Drosophila melanogaster: one gene and its partner. The protein of the gene in region 1 interacts with the protein of each later gene in a pairwise test. Each region holds a gene or a part of one and is shown in the gene's direction. Other genes may lie near its edges.

Region 1 (3,755 bases):
CTCACATTAGATAGAAGTGGAGTGTTCCAGAAGAGATCGGAACGGATCGATGTACCCGCTCTCGCCTCTCTCGCACTCCAAAGAGCAAACAAGCCCGCAAACCGGTTGGTTTCGTTTGCTCATTATGGAAGGCAAAAGGCACCGAATTATCAGTTGATATATGTACATATGTACATAAGTAAGTGCCCAGTGTATATATATGTACATACATATATATGTACCTGTTTATGTGTGGCACACACCTCCAAAACAATTATCATGCCGAAATATTAAAATGTGAGCTCAGCTCGCCCGAATGTGCGGAATATGACAGCACGTGTGTTTTGATTACCGATTTTTTTGGGGGGTTGGGCACTTTTCCAAGTTCAACAGCTGAGCGCGGCTAAAATTAAACGCTTTTCATTGAGCAGCCGGTGCGGGAAATCTTTGGGAGCAAAAACCGAGAGCGTTCATCAATGCGATTGCAAATGAGTGGAAAAGTGCAACCTTGAACGTGAGCATCTGAGCTGTACAGTGGATACTGGTTAAGGATGGCAGTAAGCATATTTTACTATTTTTAAATTATATAGAAGTGAGTCGACTAACTACTACTAAGCAACTACTAAGATTAAGGAAATTAACTAAATTATATTGATTTTATAGGCTGATACGTTTCAAATGCAACCTTCTGGTACAAGTAATCACTGTACCTAGCGATTTCAGCTCTTCTATCTTGAAAAGTTGGGCCAAAAGTAGTTTAGCAAATATTCCGCGCCTTTGCTTGCGGCTTAAGTGTGATTTTAGCACAGCCTCTTGATATGTGCCCCCTCCATAAACAAATTTTTTGATAAGGAATTCGAGCGATGAACGACACTTTTCGACCACTGTGCACTGGGATGCTGTTGTTGCCGGCGCTTGATAAACGTAAACAAGCTCGTTAGGCGGTGTTTGTGCACTTTTTTCTCTGCTATTGCACTCAGTCAAGGTTGTGGCTTACTACGGATCCAGTTTATCCAGCAAGTGTTTTCCACTTTGCTTCTGGCTATGAAATTTGTTTGCTATAAATAGCCCGTTGGAGGGGGGGGGGGGGTCGATGCGGGATGTAGATAGTAAAGCAGCTACAACATCATTCCAACTGGACTTTGTACCCCCTTGGAGGAAAATAACAAAAACCAAATGGGGCAATGGAAATTTATGCAAATTACTCGGAAAGTGCACTTTCACATGCGCGATTTTCTAGCCAATTTATTTCCTTGAACAATAATTCGGAATACTTTTGTTTGTTGTTTACAAAACTGGATTTGATTTATAAGAATCATACGTGACTTAATTCTGATTGGACTGAGTGCGCCTAGGGGAATGAAAAACAGCTGTTGCTTGTAAGTGTTGTTGTTTGTTTCTCTTAAATTTAAGTACTTTGCGATAAAGGCCACTGTGCACCAACTGTTTGGCAATCCATTTATTCGCTCTTGTTTACACCGATTAAACGCTTGCAACATCCCAAAAAGACCACTCACACACGGACACCTTATATAATTGGGCAAAACGAGAACAACAAATTATTTTGAACACACACACGTATACATATGCGTACATATGTACGATTTCATGTGTGTTTGGCCCTACACGCACCTTTGTTTTTGTTAGCACAGATTCTTTTTTTTCGGCCTCCCTTTTCGCTCCTTCGGCCTTGGCAACAATAACAACAACACACAGCAGTGGTAGGCGTTTCGCACTGATTTTCGATTCCAAAAACACAGGTGCTGTATTCTCTTTAACCGCGAGCTAATTCTTTGTCTTTATTTCGGATTTTTCTATTTGTTAATGCACATTTTCCGCGCGATTCTCGGACTCCGCCTGCGAAGCTCCAAAGAGCAATTGACAAAAACATCGAGAACTGCGCTCGGCGTTGCCATGCTGACTGCGCTGCCAGACGGCGTGGGTGGAGTCCACGCTGGAGGTAAGCCCAGACCGCAACCCTCTAACTGTGGCACAGTGGTGCAAATTAAGAGAGGACTGCTGTCAAAAATTGTTTATAAAATTTGTTCCAGAGCCGTTATGTCATTGTTTCGTCATGTCAATTGTAAAAGAAAGCACCCTTTCAAAACGTTGTAAATAATTTCAACAAGTGCTACAGATATTTGTGTTATTCACTGGCATACAAGTTCGTTTAAACAAAATATTAAACATAAATAAACATTAAAATATATTATTAAACAAAATATATTCTTGACTTGCAATAGATATGCCGTATCACTCATAAATGCAATACAAAGGGTAAATCATTATTTCCTGGCTTAAAATTGTAATGAAACGGATAATGAATCACATAGCTATTCAGTTTTAGAGAATTTGTATGCACTTTGTCATATTTAACGTTAAAGTCGATCACTTTTTATTTAAGGGGCTAAAGTTGTTTTACTTTATTTGCCTAATTTAAATTTTTGCTCCTTATATTCAAAAATGCAGGCTCGATACCATCTCGACCGCGATGATTTGTTTGGGTTGGCAACGCCCCGACGTTTGTGGCGCAGCCAACTTCACGCGAGACGCAGCGAAAACAAAAAATACTAAGCTGAAGTTAATTGAGAAAACCCCAAATAAAACGCGAGTGAAAGGGACCATGAACTTAGACCTGCGTTCGTACTCACGCCACTGGCTCACGGAGTTTATCGAGCAGTACCAAGAGGAGGAGTGCCTCTGGCAGCCCAAGCACAACGACTACAGCAATCACACAGCCCGTAACAAGTCCTACGATCGCCTGGTGGAGAAGCTAAAAGAAGTGGAGCCCAATCCGGACAGGGCGATGGTAGTAAGGTGAGAATTTCCATGTCAAATGTGCCACAGTTCAGTAAACACAATTCACGCTTTACAGGAAAATTAACTCACTGCGGTCCGCTTTTCGGCGGGAATTCCGCAAGACGAGTACCAAAGGCGACTACGCAACGCGTTTGTGGTACTACGACAAGCTGCTTTTCATCGCTGACCACAAGCCCAAGCGCCACGAACTCGGCTCCAAGCCCAAGAGAGAACTCCATATCAGCTTCGACGACGAGGAGTCAATGGAGTTCGAGGACGACTCACATCACACGGGCACTCAGTCTCAGCACATGGAGTCCATAATACCCACGTCCCCGGACGATGTGGAAGAAGTCGCGGCGACGGCCAACAATGTGGTCGTCAGCAGTCAGGGCGCCACTCTGAGCACCATTTCGGTGACGCCCGCGGAATGTGTGACCCTTGTCAAGAGCGAGGAGCACCAGGCGGCCGAAGCAGCGGCAGCCGCAGCCCAAGCACACCAGCAAATGGTAGCCCATGCAGCAGCCCAGACCTCCATTGCGGCGGCGGCGGCTCAGGGACATGCCGTGAAGGTCTTAGAGATCACCTCCCTAGACTCCAACTCCCAGCGCGAGATACAACAAGTGAGTAGCTCCAAAGCAGTGAAGAGTTCCTTAGGGTCTTCAATCACCTCCTCTCCCCACGCAGGCGGTCAATCATCTGGAGCACCACCAGCAGCAGCTCCACCTGCAGCAGACGAATGGCCAACATCAGGGCGTTCCCACCATCCAGATAGGCCGCGATCACTATCAGCCATTGTTTGGCAATGCCGGCACCACTGCCTATACCACCACAGCGGCTACGAGCACATCGCACCGGCAAGACGACGAGTACGATGCCATTGGCGTGAATGTGGCGAGCAAACTGCGCTCCATCAACCCGACGCAGCGGATCGTGGCCGAGAAACTGATCAGCGACGTTCTATTCAACGCACAGCT
Region 2 (3,755 bases), 1.4 Mb from region 1:
GCTCGGAAACCTCTGTCTTGGCGTCGTTGGCAGTCGCCTTGTGGTTCTGCCACTCCTGCTCCAATCGTTCCATGCGCTCCTCATAGTACTTGCGCTGTGTGTCCAGCTGAGAGGTCAACAGGTATGTGAACTCCATCTGCATGGAGTCAATCTTTTCCTCGCGCTCATCTTTCTCGGTTTGCGATGCCACCAGCTTGCCGTCGGATTTGTTTTGAAATAAGCGATGCACAAAGTTGTCACCGGCATAGTCCCATACGCTTGAGGTGCCCAACTGCATGGCAAAGGTGTGATTTGTGGCCCGGAAGTGTGCAGCAGCATGTCCTCCCTGGTAGCGTCCGCAGCCCACATGTCCGCAGATCAGGCAGATCCATAAGGAATCGGTGCCCTCGCATTCCATGCACACGGAATCTTCGACCAGTCCAGGAGTTTGAACATGGCGGCACACCGGACAGGTGGAGTCACCCCATTTCATCAGGCAGCTGGCGTGGAAGGCGTGATTGCACAATATGGTCAACACTCCATCCACGCTCTCGTCCATGCGCTCCAGGCACACTGGACAGGTGGGTAGCTCGGTGTGTCCCATTGGTGGTGCTCCATGCTCGCTCCTTTCCACCTCTGATACCCAGACCGCGTGGCACAGCGAGTCCGGTTCCAGTGAGTTGTAAGTACTGCCATTATAGGACTTGTAGAACTCCAAAGCGGATTCATTCGAGCGGAATCTATAAGAGTGTGATTATATTAGTAAATATCCGTGAATCTGTAATGTCAGATTGGAACGCCGCTTACTCCAAAAGCACCATGAACTGATTGGGGCTGCCGTCACGTACAATCTGGATGTGTTTAATCTCTGCATGACAGGGGGCAATAAAGTTCAGCAGATCGTGGCAGTTAAGAGTGGCCGGCACGGCCAGCAGGCAGAGTTGGTTAGATGGAGCTTCCTTGATGGCCTTGCGTTCGCTGAAACATACAGAAATAATGGTGAGTGAAATATTTAGTAGGATAGAGCAGAGTTAACCCACTTTTTCTTGTAGAGATGGATAAGACCTTTGGTCACCTCGACGATGGGATTGCCGGAGAAGTACCCTATCTCTTGGGGAAAGTTGGAGGCGCTGGCTCCCGCCTGGCCATCATCGCCGCTCCGAGGAGTTATCTCCCGGGAGCTGCCCGCCGAGGGGCTGTTCACATGCTGCACGGCGGCTACCCAGTTCATCTCCTGCTGTCTGGGTTCACTCAATTCCCGCTTCCAACGCTGGTTTGTGTACGTTTCGATGGTGATGTCGCGGGATTGGCGAAGTCCGCGGTCGCGTTCCCGCTCCTTGAGCACTCGGGGATTGGTTGGATGTTCGGCGGACACAGCTCCCTCAGAATCTGTTCGAAAATATAGAATTAATGCACTTCCTTTGTCCGAAGCTATCGTTGCTGCATTGAATTTTACCTGCACTGGGATCCAAATCCGTTTCGATCTTGATCACACACAGGGAAATGTTTTCTAGCATGACACGGGCATAATTTTCATTAGTTTTTATATATAAAAAAAAGCCTAAAGACCGTTCAAAGTGTAATTTTCTATTTTACTCTGTGCGAAATGAGTTTGTTATTTTTCTATGTGAACTAGTTCGCGCGGAGTGAACGGCCATCGATTGCTTCGCGACAAAAGTGTTTAGTTCAACAATCGCTTATCGATAATGCCTACCAACACTGATTGTAACGTACCTGGATTCAAGTCCATCGAAATTCAAAAGATTAAAATATTAATTTCGTGCTCGGTTTAGCAGATTTTCATCGCCAATAGAGAAAATGTATATTTTTACTCGTATGAAATGATAAGTGAATGGAGCCAATAAAATAAAAGTGATTTCCTGTGGAACAGTGTGCTATGAAGTAACATACAACTTGTCGGCTTCGCTTGACAACTTCGGCTGTGGCCACTTCGGTCGGATCCGCTTGGCGAGTTGGCCAAAACAAAGCCAGTGCGTTGCTGTTGCTGCTGCGTATCGGACGTGTTCGGTGAGCCAGACTCGCGTCATCCGTGATTTGGGCCATAACAAAAACAAGTTTACGAAACTTACGTCGTCATCTCGTTCTTTCCCGCGCGCGTAAACCAAGTCAAAATAAAAGAGAAGCAAAACAAAAAGGCTGTCCAAAGGAAATTGCAACAAATCAAAAACCAAAAGCGAAAGCAAAAGTGAGTGCAATAGTTTTTTGTGATTTAATTCCATACCGTTTGCTGCAGTAACCATGGGCTGCGCCCGCGGTTAACACAACAAATTGATTACCATGGGCGCGGCGGACCAAAGTCGATTGTAATTGCAATTACCAAGATTGGACCACAAAGTACATTTAACCGCACACACACGTGCAACATTCAATGTATGGACGCGGCCGTAAAAACGGTCATCGCAAGGAGTCAACCTATTGATTTTTGGTATTATTTATTAAGGGGTTCGCCCATAAACCTGCTTACCAAATTCGCAACTGGCTCACCTTTCTCACAACCGCACTCATATGCTAACAAACAAGACCGGAGATCAAAAATAGCCGTGGGTGCACAGTGAGAAACATTTGTGCTGAATTACCTCTTTTAATATATTTACTGTCTATTACTATGTGTCTATGTGTCTTTACTGTCTATGTGTCTTTGTAGTTTGAAATATTAGTTAAACCTTAAATTTCATCAATCAATCATAACTAACTCAATCAATGAATGAAACTTTGCGTTTCCTTGCCAAATATTAATATTAAACGCTCTCACCACTTTTAAGTGAAAGTAAATTTAACCTTTCTATGCAAAATCTAATTTATAAATAATATAATCTCCATGGTGCCGCTTTTTTGGGCCAGTGCATGCGTGTGTGAGGACGTCAGCCCGTTTCTGGGTTGCTGCTGACAGCTGCCAAGTGCCAGGAGCTTGTCGTCAACAAGTCTATCAAAAGCACGTTTGTCATTTTTGTTGCACTCGCCCAGCCAGCAGGTGGCACCTCCCAGCGCCACCCACCCACTCCATCCACTCCATTCACTCCACCCACTCGGCGTCTCACTATGTAAAGCGTGTGTGTGTCTGAGAGCTGCTTTTGTGTTCGCCAATTTGAAGTTTGTTTGAAACTACATGTATTGCCCCCTCGCTGACATTCATCCCGCAACGGCGCTGAGCACTCTGCCATTTTCATTTGCATTTTCGCCGTCCCGCTTTTCCGCTCTCCGCCTTCGGAAGAAAATCAATTGTTGTATGCAATAAACGCAAGGCGAACGGAACGAAACGCTGCCAACCAGTTTTTGCAGCGGAGCCAAAATCCGTTTTCAGTTTACATAAACCGAGTTTGACTCAAAAAAGTTGGCAAAACCATGGTTTTTTGTTTCCCTCTTGCTGTTAAATTATGCACAGTTTATATATAACAAACGGTAAATAACTAAAGCTAAATAGTTTATTGATTTCCCAAAAATTTCTTAGCATCAGCTTTCGCTAATAAAATTTTATTTAATTTAACTATGTTTACTTTTAAACAAAGTGTGCTCAGCTACACACCTTTTGTGTTGAAGGAAACACTAATAAATACTTAATTTATTGAGCTTCTTTTAATTACCCCGCTTATCCTAAAAGGTAATCAATTATTAAAAGCAATTTACTGAGAATATTTAATTAGGCTTAAAGCTGTTTGTTCCAGCCTGCAAATTCAATAAAATGAGTAATGTTTTTAAAGAGCATTTCTGCCAAGCATATTTAGTGCGAAATTAATAAAACCATTGAGCTGTGTATT

What was found. Proteins that work in one complex are often made in the same cells at the same time.
Region 2: the proteins of CG5180 (region 1) and myd interact in a two-hybrid assay, tested with the Drosophila melanogaster proteins (one large-scale study listed by BioGRID).

What each region holds. Positions count from the first base shown.
Region 1 is NT_033777.3:20,555,796-20,559,550, forward strand, and holds the start of CG5180 (uncharacterized protein), read left to right. Parts: upstream 1-2,134; 5' UTR 2,135-2,256; intron 2,257-2,448; 5' UTR 2,449-2,602; coding exon 2,603-2,796; intron 2,797-2,854; coding exon 2,855-3,401; intron 3,402-3,465; coding exon 3,466-3,755.
Region 2 is NT_033777.3:19,178,692-19,182,446, forward strand, and holds the start of myd (mayday), read left to right. Parts: upstream 1-1,967; 5' UTR 1,968-2,425; intron 2,426-3,755. Other genes in the region: CG5555 (uncharacterized protein), read right to left, coding at 1-719, 787-957, 1,020-1,368, 1,436-1,489, 1,714-1,729.